Linked DNA regions of Notamacropus eugenii. The protein of the gene in region 1 purifies or fractionates together with the protein of each later gene. This does not show direct contact. Links are inferred from orthologs where the notes say so. Each region holds a gene or a part of one and is shown in the gene's direction. Other genes may lie near its edges.

Evidence for each region. The genes of interacting proteins can lie anywhere in the genome.
Region 2: the proteins of SIRT1 (region 1) and FOXO3 purify together in Homo sapiens (affinity purification with western blotting; 4 studies listed by BioGRID and IntAct, with this or other methods). This does not show direct contact. The link is inferred for Notamacropus eugenii from reciprocal best matches to the Homo sapiens genes SIRT1 and FOXO3.

What each region holds. Positions count from the first base shown.
Region 1 is NC_092872.1:261,064,466-261,071,697, reverse strand, and holds the start of SIRT1 (NAD-dependent protein deacetylase sirtuin-1), read left to right. Parts: upstream 1-4,214; 5' UTR 4,215-4,295; coding exon 4,296-4,662; intron 4,663-7,232. UniProt on the Homo sapiens protein: NAD-dependent protein deacetylase that links transcriptional regulation directly to intracellular energetics and participates in the coordination of several separated cellular functions such as cell cycle, response to DNA damage, metabolism, apoptosis and autophagy.
Region 2 is NC_092873.1:188,223,479-188,231,164, forward strand, and holds the start of FOXO3 (forkhead box protein O3), read left to right. Parts: upstream 1-4,671; 5' UTR 4,672-6,413; coding exon 6,414-7,091; intron 7,092-7,678; exon of another isoform or gene 7,679-7,686. UniProt on the Homo sapiens protein: Transcriptional activator that recognizes and binds to the DNA sequence 5'-[AG]TAAA[TC]A-3' and regulates different processes, such as apoptosis and autophagy.

The sequences.
Region 1 (7,232 bases):
ATCCTGAAGCTCACCTGGCAAGATAAGGTACTGGACACTGGGGTCCTTTCTCAAGCTAATCTGCCAAGCATTGAAATGCTACTGAAGAGAGTGCAACTCTGACTGACTGGCCGCGTTGTTCAAACGCCAAACGTACATTTGCCTAAAAGATTGTTTTATGGAGAACTCATGCAAGGCAAGGGCTCACACGGTGGTCAGGAGAAGTGATACAAGGACACTTTCAAGGTCTCTCTGGCAAAGGATGGCCTAGAATGGCATACCTGCATCAAAGAAGGTGCTGTGCTCTATGAAGGAAAGAGAATTGCAGTAACTGAAAAGAAAAGAAAAATGAGAAGTATGAGTTTAGAGATACCTCTACTCCAAATGTTCATATGAACTCTTTGTGCCCAACCTATGGTAAAGCCTTCCTAGCTTACATCAATCTGATCAGTCACAGTCAGATATACTTAACCCCAACAAAGTGATGATATTTTGGTCATTTTTGATTAAGTTGCTTGGTTGTTGTCCTTCATTCTCAAAGAGGACCATTACAGTGTGTCTGACTGTGGCTGACGAGACAAATACAAGCTGAGAATGCTCCACTGCAGGTCAGGCACAAACAGTTCATGTGAACATTTGGGGGTGTATCCTAATTTGTATATCCTGCATTTCCTTTGAGCTGTCTCAACTGTGCTTCGCTCACAGAGCACAGCACCTTCTCTGATGTGGGCACCCCATGCTGAGCGGTTCAGTGCCAGTGTCTCCCATGTCGCATAAAGGACAACAAGCAACCAATAAAGGCTTCGTCAATATCAATACCATTGGTATTCCTCAATTCCAGGCTGCTCAGCTCCTTTTAATTCCACTGCCTAGTTAAGTACTCTGCATATAGTACCCATTTAATGTCTGTTAAATTAAGATGAATTGAAAGGAAGAAAGTATAGGACTTTATAATAGACAGAGAATGAGAAAAAGGAGAGGAAAGATTCAAAGATGATTCCAAAGTGCTGTGTTGGAGAAAATGGTAGGAGTACCAAACTAATAAAACTGGGAATGTTGGGAATGTGGCCACATTAGGAAGGACAACAATGACTCTATGGTTGGAGTTTGAAGGGACCTTGGAACCCATCTAGTCCAATCGATTCATTTTACACAGGAAGAAACTGAAGCCCAAGAAGACAAAATGACTTACCAAGGGTCCCCCAATGGTACAGCAAAGTCTAATAGTGAGTTTCAGGTGACAGCTGGAAGTGGAGGCCTAGTTTAAAGGTCCAGGTCCTTGGTCAGGGTTGGGAAGAGACATTTATGATCCATCACCATGGAAGTAGTGAAGGTGAGGTACCAAAGAATGTGATGAATAAAAGAGTGGGAGAAGGAAGCAAGTAGGTAAGAAAGGAAGAGAAAGAAAGAAGGCTTACAAGAAAGTAGGTAAGAAAGGTCAAGAATCAAATCTTGGGAGATAGCTACAATTATGGGACAGGAAGAAGGAAAGGAAAGAAGTCATCAGGCAGCAGGAGAAGAATGAAGAAACAACATTTTGCTTTAATTTATCTCTAATCCTTTAACTTTTGAGAAAACAAAATACTATCCCTCCCATTTCTGGGAGTTAAATCTTCATTGGGCGGCTTGGTGGTGCAATAGAGAGAGTGCCAGCCTGGTATTCTAGACTCCTAATTCAAATATGGCCTCAGACACTTAACAAGCTGTATTACCCTAGGCAAGTCACTTAACCTCAGATTCCTTATCTGTAAAGTGGAGAAAAGAATAGCTACCTCCCAGGGCTATTGTGAGGATCAAATAACATGAAAATTGTAAAGCATTTAGCACAGCACCTGGTGTATAATAAATGTGAGCTATTATTAGTCAGTCATATAATTCAACAATTTCATGTAAATAAGCTTTAATCCTGAGCAAGACCCATCTTTTTCCTTAGATTTAAGCAAAATTAGAAACTCTGGATTTCTACTTAAACTTGAACTGATTGAGAGTGAAGTGGCTATTGGCATGAGTTGGGAGATTGATTTGCCCAGGAACTACATCACTGTTTCTTGTTCTTACAAAAATCTCAGTATTAGAATTCAGAAACCTCCTGTAAAACTGATGGCTTGTTATTTACAATAACTGTAATTATTTTATTTTTACATAAATATTTACTTAAATATTATACATAAATATTATTTTATACATATTATATTTATATGTTACTATTATTTTAAGATGCTAGGATCATAGATTTAGGGATAATAGAAGGGACCTTTGAGGTCATTTAATACAACTACCTCATTTTGCAGAGGAGGAAACTGAGGTCCAGAGAGCTAAGATTACCTGTCCCAGGTCACAAATGTAGTAAGTGCCAGAGGCAGGATTAAAACCTAGCTCTTCTGATCCCAAATCTGGCCACTTTTCCATTGCCCCATGCTATAACCCAATTCACCTTTCTGGGTCTCTGCTTCCTCCTCTGTAAAATGAAGGGGTCCATTTAGATGAGGGGGTTCTGACCCTCTGTGTCATAGAGACAAGTTCATGGACCTCTTGAAATGGAACCATGACCCCCAGTAAAGAACTCTTCTTTTCAGGCCCTAAAATCTTCCCCATTATTTAAATCCTCTGGTTTTTTGCAAAAGTACTTTTTTTCAAGGAAATATGCTTAATCAAATATACAAAGAAACAAGGAAATCTAGGGTCACAATTGAATACAGTATTTATACCATATTGTCCTTTTTCAAATTTCAAAAATCAAGATTTCATCCACCTTGGTTTTCTCCCCACTGCCGCAGAAAGCAATGAGAAGATCCCAGATTTAGAGCTGGAAGGGATCTCAGGACTCACGTACTCCAACCTTCTCATCTGACAGAGAGTAGGGAAAGTCAAACGATCTGATGGTCATGAAAACATTCAGTGACCAGGTCCTCTGCCTCCCAATCCAAGACTCTTCATTCTCTCTCAGCACACTGAAGGAGAAGGCATTGAGTTACTAGGACCAAAAAAATCATCTCCTGGTGGTGGGCAGGCTCCTGGGGATCATCGTTTAAGCTAGGCTATTCCTCAGTGGTACTTGGGGCGCCTTGAGCTTGGCAGGACCTGTAGAACACCTGTATGTCCGCAGCCCTCACCCGAGGACAGCACTCCACACCAGGTGCCTGGACCTGCTCTTTCCAGCCTGTCTTCTGATCCGTCCTTCCCAGGACCACCACAGGTCTTTTGTACAGCAGACATACAGGGTCTCCTCCTCCTCCTCCACTCTGCCCAGCCTCCTCTCCAAAGCACCCTGCCCTCTCATTTCACCAAGGGGTCTCCTTGGCAGGACTGTCGTCCTTTCGCTGTTCCATTCTCGCCCGCTCTGCAGCGCTCAGCGCACGCAGCAACTCCTCCTGGAAGTCCTCCTCGCTTGCCCTTCTCTAATGCATAGATTGGGTGATTCCTTGGCACTCGGTAGTTGCGATTATTGGTCTTTGTATCGCGCCCTCCTCTGAGATCTGCAGCTCCCGGAAGGCCGGGGGGAGGTCTTTATCTTGGAATTGTGCGCGGCGCTTAGACTCGCGTGTCCCAGCTCCAGGAGCCCAGGAAGCCTCTTCCCCCGGGAGCGGGGCGGGGGTGCACCCCAGTCTTTGCCGCGGCAGCCCCGATCCCTGCGCACTGCGCAGCTCCGGCGCCGGCGGGCTCTGGGGCGCCTTGGGCCGGGTCCCTCTGCCTTATGGCCCGGCCCCTGGAGCAGAGCCCTTCCAGGACGGGGCAGTTCAGGGATGCGCGTAGTAGGAGCGCAGGGAGGGGGCAGAAATGACTTTTTCTTTCTTTTTCCACTTAGGGTCGGACACGTCCCTTCGGAGAAATAAGACCAAACTTGCGCGCGCGCCAGAGATGGGAGAAGGGGGTGGGGGTGGGGACCTGGGGAGGAGGAGAGCGGGGCGGACGGCGCGAGCCAGGCACACGCCGGGCGGGTCCGGACCAGCGCGCGCGCGCCCGCGGGCCGGCCCGAAGCCGGAGCCCCGCCCCGTCCGCCCCTTCTCCGCCCCCCCCCCCCCGCGCGCCCTTGCGCCGGGCCACGTGACCCATTTTGTTGTGGTCCCGGCCCGCGTGGGTGTCAGTGGTGGTCAGGCCGAGGGGGGGAGGGGCCGGGAGGGGCGGGGCGGGGCCGGGCGGCGCGGGTCACGTGACTGGGGTTTAAATCTCCCGCAGCCGGCGCGGCGGGGGCGCCAGAGCTGCTGCTGCGCGTCTGCTGAGCGGGTGGGCGGGGGCCGGCGGCGGAGCGCGGGCGGCGGAGGCGGCGCCGAGGCCAGGCCCAGGCCCAGGCCCAGGCGGGCGGGAGGCGGTTGAAGATGGCGGACGAGGCGGCGCTCGCCCTGGAGCCCGGCGCGGGCGGCGCAGGTCCCGCGGAGCCCGGCGGGGAGCCGCTCAGCAAGCGGCAGCGCAGGGACGGCCCGGGCCCGGGCCCGGGGGCGGAGCGGGCCGGCGGGGCGGGGAGCCCAGGCCTGGAGGCGGCGGCTGCCCCTTTCGGGGAGGCCGCGGCCGCCCCCGGCGGGGACAATGGACCGGGCCCTCGGGGCCTGCGGGGCCTGCCCCGGGAGCCTCCGCCACTGCCGGACGACGACGACGACGACGACGACGAGGACGACGACGAGGAGGAGGAGGAGGAAGAGGGGGGCGAGGACGAGGACGAGGCGGCGGCGGCGATTGGCTACCGAGGTGCGCAGGGTCCGGGCGGCCGCGACTGCGCACCGCCCCCCGGGGCCGCCCGAGCGGGGAGGGCCGAGGAGGCGGGGGCCGGGCTCTCACCGCCGGGCCAGGCCGGGCGGCGGGAGGCCCCAAGGTCCACCCCGGGCCCGTGACCTCGGCGTCGGGACTGGCTGGGCTCCTCCCCCTCTCCCGCGCTCAGTGCGGCGAGGTCACTCCTGGTCATCCCCCGCTGCGTTCCCCTCCCTTGGCCTCCTCTGCAGGACCTCCGGTGTTCGGGGCCCCTCCCGCCTACCCCTCTACTAACCTGATCACCTCTTGTGCAGAGGCTGGCTTTTCCGCAGCCCCGGGCTGCTTGACGAGGGGTGGGTTCGGATAGCCACCCTCCGCTCCTGCCTGTTTGTTTCTAGTCCTCGTTTTTCAGGGGCTCAAGTTTTATTACCATTATTAATATTTTGGACTCTGCATGTTCAGGAAGCCGGCGTAGCGAATTCTTGCTGTAGATGAAGGTAGACTGGTGGGCAAGGTAAATTGATGTCTCCTAGTTTGGAGGTGACCCCGGGCTCTCCACGTTGGTGCCAAGAGGATCCTAAGCGCCGGCTGGTTGTGTCAGACTGAAAAGGCTTCGTTGTCCCAGCGGACCTGCTTAGGTTGTTGGGAGAAGCCTCCCCCTGAATGGGCTGCAGAGCCATGAATATGGCCACAGCAACTCCCCTACAAAGGGGGTGGAATCCGAGGAGCGAGGGAGTACTCACACCAAGGAACAGATTCTTGAAGTTTAAGAAATATGGGCAAGATCACTGAATGCCAACTTTAACTTAACCTGAAAAACTCCTTTCCCCGCTCTAATCTTATTCTTGCATAGCATCTTCAGCTCGTTACTAGTCTAGCGTTTGGTAAACCAAAAAACACTTTAAAAAAATTTTGAGTGATCCTTATTGTTAGGTGTTCTTTTGGGGAGAGTAGAGGGAAAAGGAATAGTTTAGTTTGTGATAAGTCAATTCACATACAGCCTTTTACTTCTATTGACGTGAAGCTGTTGGCATCATTTAGCATCAGGTTGTTGGCATCAAGTCATTTGATGCTGCTGTCTTTTGAACTTTTGAAGCTGTGTGACTCTGGGCAAATTACTTAAACTGTTTGCCTCAATTTCCTCAACTGTAAAATGGGAATAATAAGTAGCACCTACCTCCCAGAGTTGTGTGGATTAAGTTAGATAATTGTAATAAAGTGCTTAGCACAGTGCTAGGTGCTTAGTGAATGCTATATAAATGTTAGCTATTATTATGAAGGCTTTCTAGATATAATATATATACATATATATACACACACACACATATATATGGAAGACTTTCCAGATGAAGGAAGCAAGTATGTGAATTAACTATTATTTGGTTTACATTTACTTGAAAGCCACTACTTGTAGTCCAAAGAACTCATGTTTGATAGGCAGTCCTGTTTTATAAATTATCAGTGTATTTTTTCCTTTTTGCACTATCTTAGATTCTGTAGTTAGATTGTTAATCTCTGGGAATCTAGAATCATTTCAATGAAAACACGGTGACACTGAATTACTTAACTAATTTAAAATATAGTAAATAATTGGTCTGAAGTCCTTTCACTATGTTTCATTGTTCTGAGGAGATGACCCTGGGTGCCCAGAGACCAGTGGAGGCCAAGCTGGGAGGGTTTGTGTGTGTGTTTGGTTTTTTTTACAGGTGAGGCACTGAACCAGTCTTGCAGCTAAGAACCAGTAAGGAGTTTAGTCCCCAGGTCATTAATGATTTTTAGCTACTAACTTAAGAAACTCTCTGTTTGTTGGAGCTACAGTCTGCCTTGGGAGAGAGTGAAAATACGTATGAGATTACTCTTTTAGAAGTCGTTTGTATTTACTTAGCTTCAAATTTTGCCCCCCTGTACCCATTAGAATGTAAGGGATTGAAGATAGGGACTGGTTTTTTGGTCTGCATGTTTCCAGTGTCTATAACAATGGCTTGCAAATAGACATTTAATAAATAATTTGAAATATTAATTGAACTAGGGAAGATGAAGGAAATAAGCATTTATATAGTGCCTATTGTATACCAAGCATTTTTTACAGTTATCATTTGATCCTCACTACAACCCTAGGAGGTAGGTGCTATTATCTTCATTTTACAGATGAGAAAACTGAGGCAAACAGGTTAAGTGCCTTGTCCAGGGTCACACAGCTTGTAATTGTCAGAGACTGGATTTGAACTCTGGTCTTTCTGACTTGAGTCCCACCACTCTAATATACTCCTCCACCAGCTGCTTCCAGTAAAAAAAATTTTGAGTTCATTTACTTTTGAATATCGTTATAATGGGTCCTTAATAAGATGTCACACTTCCTTTTTGGTCCTGTGATTTCTGGCTGCAGCCAGTTCTTATTGAGGAAACTTCCTTTGTAGATTGTTGGCTAACTTGTTCTCTTAGAGAGCTACCTTTGGCACTGAGAAGTGACCTACAGTCACAGAGCCAAATCTGTCAGACTGAACCCAAACCCAGGTCTTCTGGGCTTGGAGGCCATTTCTTTGGCCAGTATTCTATACCTTCCCTTTGGT
Region 2 (7,686 bases), on another chromosome or scaffold:
AGAGATGAGTGCAGATAGAATGCTTTTTAAACTTTGTGTTGTTTTTTTGCAACATGCCTAATATGGAAATATTTTTTACATAACTTCCTATGTATAATTTATATCAGATTGCTTTCGTTCTCAGTGGGTGGGGGAACAGCTGGAGGGAGGGAAGATGGAACTCAAAACATAAAAAAAAGAATGCTAAAAATAAATAGATAAAAAAATAAAATAAATGGAGATTGGAGGGCAAGATTTCCTTTAGCTTGGAGGTCAGGAAGTATGAATCAGGGAAAGGCTTCATAATGCACCTGAACTGAGCTTTGAAGAAAAAGGCAGCATTGTGGAGGGAGGCCTCCCAGGCATTAGTACAAATGGTCTGCACAAACTGAATAGGAATTCCTGGACACTTGGAAAGAAATGTTTCATATTTCAAGTACAATGTGCTATTAAGAGTAACAACTTCTGACAATGTTTCAACCTTAACAGTATGCAATAGGGCATCTCAATCATCTTTTTGTGTCTCAAAGGAGTGTCTCACTGATAACACACAAGGAGACATTGGAGGTCTTGGACTGCAGCCTCTAACAGGTTCACTCTTGATCTGGTCAGACAGGCAGGCAGCTTCTGGGGGATTAATAATCAGCTTTATTCTATTCTAGTCTTCTCAAAGGGTTGTGGGAGAACCAGCTCCTACAGCACTCCCTAATCACCCTTCTTGAAGGGGTCAATCCAGACAGGCACACTTCTGCTTCCCTTAAATCCCCTCAAGCCTCCATGGGGGCCAGTTGAGACACACAAACTCCCTGTGCCTTTTCCCCCTCTATGGGTTTCTCCCCATTCACTGAACAATGCCCACTTGCTTTTATAGGGACAAAGACAGGCAACTTGCCAACATTAAGCTCACAGGTAACTTTAGCAATATAATCGTTCTGGGCAAGTGCAGTAAATATCAATTATGTCACTCCCATTTCTCATGGTGCAGCCTCAGTAAGACTGTCTGTCACTATGATTCTAAGAACTATTATCTAGAATCCTTGGGACCATTCTGGGAGTAACTATCTAATAACTATCTAACACCTGTAAACTAGACATTCACATGGCCATGGATCCTGAGAAACTAAAAGGATAACAAAAACCTCCTTACATACAGGAGAATAGCTTTTAGTTTCATAGGTAAATTGCTAGAAGGAATCTTAGAAATAATTGAATCCAAACCCTCTACCTCTGTGAGTTATCTTCAGGAAACTAAGACAGAGAGGTTAAGTGACTGTTAATAAAGGGGCAGAAGGTGGACTCAATTGAACCTAGATCCTGACTCTAGGATTACTCCCCTTTCCCACTGCCCCAGGTTAGGAGTCAACTTTCAGAAAAGGAGTGAAAGAAGAGGTTGAACCCAAACCACAGAGGCCTTGAATTCCAGGCTAAGTCTTTTATATCTTATCTGGTAGACCAAGAGGACAGATAAGGTGCACTGGAGAGAGCATGGGGCTTGAAGTCAGGAATATTTGAGTTCAAATCTGGCCTCAGACACTTACTACGTGACCCTGGACAAGGCACAGTTTCTTATCTGTAAAATGGAGACACATGGGGGAAGGAAATGGCATAATCTTTGCCAAGAAAACTTGTGCTTATCCATGGGGATCAGGATGAGTCAGAACAAGCCATGAGAATCTACTAGGGGCTTTCTAGCAGCCATAGGGCTCTACTAAAACTGTTACTTCAAGGTTCTTTGAATCACTCCCAGGATGAATGATAGAGGGTTAGTGAAGAAATATTAAATGCTCTCAAAATATTGAAACTGGAACCGACAAAGTATCTGGAAACCCAGAGGTTCTTTTCAAAGTTTAGAAAAAGGAGTTACAGGGAGAGTGCAGAAGGAGGAAAGACACCCCTCCATTAGGTTTGAGGTCCTGTCAAATCCTTTTGAACTTGAAATCCTCTCTGATCCCAAGTTCAAACTTTTCCAATCACGACCACCCACTTGGGCACTGAGATTTCCCTTACGTCACCAATGCTTTCTGGCCACGTGGTGGCCACATGTAAAAACAAGAAAGCGGTGACATAATGGGGCAGTCACGCCAACCACGGGCGTTGTAACAGCGATCTCGAGTTAGGGAGATGGATTTGCCCGATGCCTATGGAGGAAAACCGTGGCTACAGCGGCTCGGAACAGCTTCTTTTGCAAGTCAGAGCTTAACTTCACTGGGGACCCGGGTGAGGCTCCGCAGGCTGAAAGAAGCCCCTCCAGATCTGCTAGGAAAGGGGGAGAAGACGCCTCTGCTCCCCTGTGAATGCCACACACCTAAGGGGGAGACTTGGGGGGTGGGGGCCGGCAGGCGAGATGGGAGTGGGCGGTGGGAGAGAGTGAAGGAATGGGAGGGAGAAAAGGACAGAAAAAGACGAATGATACGGAGCTAAGGGAGGGAGGGAGATTCGCAGAGAGGAGGAAGGAGATATGGAAAGAAATAAAGGAGGGAGAGAGAGGGGAGGAGAAAGGGAGAAGGGGGGGGAGAGAGAGAGAGATTGGGAAAGAGGTAGGAGAGAAAGACCGTGAAGAGGAAGGAAGGACTGAGAGAAAGGGTACCGGGAGATGCGGGGAGAGGAAGGGGATACAGACAGACACACACTAACTCTCTCTCTCTCTCCCCTCCCCCCGGGGTGGGGGGCGGGCGCGAGCACTTCGGCTTCCCCCAGCCAGCCCGAGGCTGCTCCACGAGTCCCCTCCCCTGCGCGCCACCGCCAGCACAACATTCCATTTATAAATAACCCCCACGTGTGCTGGTAAATAAGCGCGCGGCGCGTAACTCGCGAGGCTCCCGCCGAGCATGCGCCGGCACGCCCGCCCCTCCCCTCCGCACGTGTCCGCCGACTTCCCTAGCGCCGCCCAGCTGCACTCAGTCCCCTCCCCGAGATTCCGCTGCCCTCCCACTGCTGGCCCCCGGGGCTTTGGACACCGCCCCCTAGCTCTGGGCTCGCCAGCCTCCGGGGTCCTAGAGCTAGCCCAGGTTCTTGGCGTGCCGTGGGGAGCGCTCTGCCGCCCAGTCCTCTCTCTTCAGGAGGCGCAGGCAGAAAAAAGAATCTTTCTGGCTCGCGCGCTCTTTTTTCCTCCTCCATCCCACGGTTCCTTAGGATTTTACTCGATTGTTTATTATTGGCGGGGCGGGGGAGGGGAGTGGTGGAAAGGGGCGGGAGATGGGAGGCCGGAGACTGGAGCCTAGGCGCCTGGGCCAGTCAGAGTGCGGCGGGGCTTGATGGGTGAGACGAGCAGCGAATGGTGGCGCGGCAGACGGCGCGGCGGTCACGCGCTTATTGATACAATGACATCATCTGTTTGTACGCGTCGAACTAGCTTGGTGCAGGGGCGGGAGCGTACGTCACTTGAGTGACTGACCCTCCGCCAAGCTCGGAGTCCTCGGGCGCCTCCTGCTTGGGGAAGTGGAGGTGGGGCCGGGGACGGGAGCGGGGTGGAGGGGCGCGGCTTGGCTGGCAAAACCCAATGGATGCGCTTTTGGACAATTTCGGATTGCTAATGGGCTCGCGGCTCGCGTGTTCCCAAGAACTTCCCTGAGACTTTATGTAATGACAATAATAAATAACGTGTGTGACTGAAGACAATCTGATATTTCATTTCCACTTAGTACATGTAAAGAAGTGCACAAGTAACCTGGCGTCCAGCTTTAGGCTCACGTCCCTAATGCAAGGAATGAGTGGTGAAAGATGTTTGCCGGAGAAAAATCTATTTAGAAATGGAGCGAACATACGTAATTACCATATTAAATGTTGTACTATGTTATAGTATAAATATTAAATACAGCACAAATACTGTATTAGAGCAACTTGAAAGTCTATTTTCCAACAGCTTGTGACTATCTGCTTCTGCTTTTCCATTCAAGTATTGTTCTGTCGGTACTAATTACTTCGTTCCTCTCTTCTTCTCCCGCCTCCCCTCCTCACCCCCCCGCCATAAAACCCATTCAAAGGAAACCTAGTTTTCTTCATGAATAATCGTGTATAAACTAGCATCTGGACTAGTGTGCCTACGTGTTGGGGAGCCCGCGAGGGCCCGTACATTAAATCAAAGGGTTTCTGTTTGTATCAGTCTGTGCGAGTGGCAATCTCTTCCTCGTGGTGTCATGCAGTATATGCGGTGGGTCCCTTAACCCCCGGCCTAATCACTCGTGCAAGTCTTCAGCCAACGTCTTAGTAAGGAAAAGAGCAGTTATCACATCTCTCATCTTCTCTGGAGCTCATTAGGACATGAACACTGAATCTCCTCCAGAGTGCACATGAAGGAGCTCTCAACTGTGGGTTCCAACTGTACTGGATCCTGTGTCCCCAGCTCCACGGAAGTCCTGAGTGAAATTCCCAAAAAGCAAAACACTTTTACACCAGGTCGTAGTTTTCTGGTTATTGGGAAGTGCGGCCGGAGAGATACAGGGAGAGACTGACACTTTGTAGCTTGCAAGCGAATCCATTCTTGCCCTTGCGGGAACGTTCCTGGTAATAAAGATCTCAGCAAAGTTTCTCAGCTCTCGGTTCCCCTCGAGCTTTCTCCTCCCCTTCCTTGTCCAGCGTGGGCGCGCACGCACACACACACACACACACACACACAGACACACATCCCCCCCGCTGCCTGCCTTCTCGGTCCTCCCTCCCCCTGGGCGGGGACCTGTCTGCTGTCAGCTTAGGTTGAGGCTCCCTGCGTGTGTCTATAACTTTGTGTAGCTGCTGCTGCTGGTTGTTAGGAGAAGGAATGTGGAAGTCAGCAGTGTGGAGGGTGACAGGCTGCCCGTGCAAGCTGCAGGAGCGGCAGCAGCAAAAACCTAAACCCTTCTCCCGCGCAGATTCTTCGCTTTCTCTTTTTCGCATTTTTGGGAGACGTGCAGAATTTTGCATTCTCCCCCATCGTTTTTAAAGGGAAGGTGCCGCGGTAGACACAGGAACTATGCAACGGGGTTGCTGCTTTTCTCTCCTGTGACTCCGGATCTGTTTTTGAACAAGCTCAGGTTCTTCCCTTTCCCCTCCCCTTGACTTTGTCTTTTTCTCCCCCTCCGCCGTCTTCCCCAATCCGCCCCCTTCCTCTCCCTTTCTCCCTTTCTAGTGTTTTTTAAAGGACTTGAGTGAAGGGGGGTGGGGGGAGAACTGTCAAGATGGCAGCAGCAGGAGCAAGGAGGTTATGAATGTGTTAGTACTGGATCTTCTCGCAGCCTTAGGGAAGACTTGAAGCTTCCAGACCTGTTGGAAGATTTTTGCTTTGATTTGCCTTTTTTTCTTGAGAGGCAAACGACGTCAGCAAGAACATTGCAAAACAAAACACCAAAGTGGTTTTTCCTTGCCCAGTTCAGCTTCTTGCGAACAGCCTCCGTTCTATTCTTTTGATTTTTGAAAGTATCTCGGACTGGACGGGCATGAATTTAGATGCATATTAACCCTTTCCTGCCTCTGAGTCGGAACGAGGAGAGAAAGGGAACTGAGGGCGAAAAAGTCATCGTGGTAATGCGAGAGCTCTAACCTCGTCTACGGAAGCAAGAAAGAAGCCTGAGCTGCTCTCTGATGGATACAGTGTAATTTCTGTGGTGCGGGTGCCTCGTCGTCGGTGGGAGGGTGGAGGTCCGAGAAAGATCGGAAGACGCTACAGACTTCTCTCCCCTGCCACAGAAGGAAGCACTTCTCTGTCTGCATGGAGTGAAATATAAACAAACACACACACTCCCAGTAGCAGAGCAGGCACCGAGCTGCACCACTCAATTGCGTTTGGCTTCTCCTCGCTTTAAAGGGACAACCCTCCCTCCCCAGTACCCTCCTCCTCCACCTCCTCACTTCCCCCTCCCCCCTCCTTCTCTCACTCTTCACCCCCACCCCTCCCCCTCCCTCCTCCGCCCTACCTTCCTCCCTTCTTCCACGCCCCAGCCACCTTGTCCAGGAGAGACCTGCCTATCTGACCGCAGCTGGGGGAGGGGGTTGCCCCATCCGTGCCTAATCCTCCGATTGTCTCCACCCCCACCCCTCCCACCCCCCCGCACCCTCAGGCGGCGGCTGCTTTGGACTGGGAGTCGCTCGCTCTACCAGGTTCACGGGAAGGGACGTTTCCAGGTCTGCCTGTTCCCCTGGCTTGGCGAGGTACTGATCTGGGAAAAGGAGGCGGCGGCAGTCAAGGTCCGCCAGGGACTTCATTCCAGCTCAGGATAACCAACTCTCTCCCCTGTTTCCCTCCTTTTCTCCCCCACCCCCCAGCCCTCCTCCCCGCAGGCTGCGATCCTGATCCCTTAGCCCGTTCTCCCCCCCTCCCCTCCTTCCCTCCCCCACTTTACCCCGCCCCAGCGAGAGAGCCAGGAGGAGAACCACCGCTCGAGCTAGAGAGCGAGCGAGGGAGAGAGCGAAGGAGCGAGCAGCAGCAGGCAAAAGGCAGCCCGAGGGCCCGGGCGGCGAAGATGGCAGAGGCGCCGTCCTCCCCGGCCCCGCTCTCGCCCCTGGAAGTGGAGCTGGACCCGGAGTTCGAGCCCCAGAGCCGGCCCCGCTCCTGTACGTGGCCCCTGCAGAGGCCCGAGCTGCAGGCGAGCCCGGCCAAGCCCTCGGGGGAAGCGGCCGCCGACTCCATGATCCCCGAGGAGGAGGACGACGAGGAAGACGACGACGGAGGCTGCGGAGCCCCTGGGGGCGGCGGAGGAGCCGGTACGGCCATGGCCATGGGCGGCGCGGGCGGCGTCCTCGGCCCGGGACTGCGCCCCGAGGAGGCGGCCCGGCTCCTGGCCCCGGGAGGGCAGGACTCGGGGTCCGGCGCGCCCCCCGGGGCAGGCGTGCTGAGCGGGGGGCAGCAGGCGCCTCTGCAGCCTCCGCAGGCGCCGCTGCCGCTGCCCCCTCCGCCGCCGCCGCCGCTGCAGCCGCAGCAGCCGCAGCAACAGGGGGCGAGCGGGGCCGCGGGGCAGCCGAGGAAATGCTCCTCCCGGAGGAACGCGTGGGGAAACCTTTCCTACGCCGACCTGATCACCCGGGCCATCGAGAGCTCCCCGGACAAGCGGCTCACCCTGTCCCAGATCTACGACTGGATGGTGCGCTGCGTGCCCTACTTCAAGGATAAGGGAGACAGCAACAGCTCCGCGGGCTGGAAGGTGCGTACGGACTAGCCCCCCAGGGGGGATCGGGAGGGAGGCACGGCAGTACTTTAACCAGCGCTTTCGCAGGTGGCAGAAGCAGTTTGAGAGGTTGCAGATAAGGTGGTGTATGTGTGGAGGGGGTGTCGTACGTATATGGAGAGAGGAGGATGGAGGAGATGGGGTGTAGCAGTGCATTGGGATGCAATGGGAAGGGTGTTGTTGAGGATGAGGGAAAGGGATGGTGATGCGCAAGGAAAAATTGGAGTGGTGGAGTCTAAAAGAGCTCCCTGGGACGAATTCCGGAGTTGGGAGAGGTTAACGAGTAAATGGGTGGGTACCGGGGAGTTTAAAAACGGAAAGGTGGATCTTACCGAATTCCCTGGACAGCTCTGAGGCAGGTAGGTGGGAAGGGGGCCAACTTCATTTGGTGATGATTACATGATAAGAAGAGAGAGAGGGAGAGAAAGAGAAAGAGAGATAGATAGATGTGTGTGTGGCCCAATCGTCCGGAGAGATGTGGGAACATAGAACAGGATAGGTGAAGAAGGTGGATTTTGGGTTCCTTGCACTGCGGAGTTAAGTGTATCGTTCTCTGAAGATAATGGGTGTC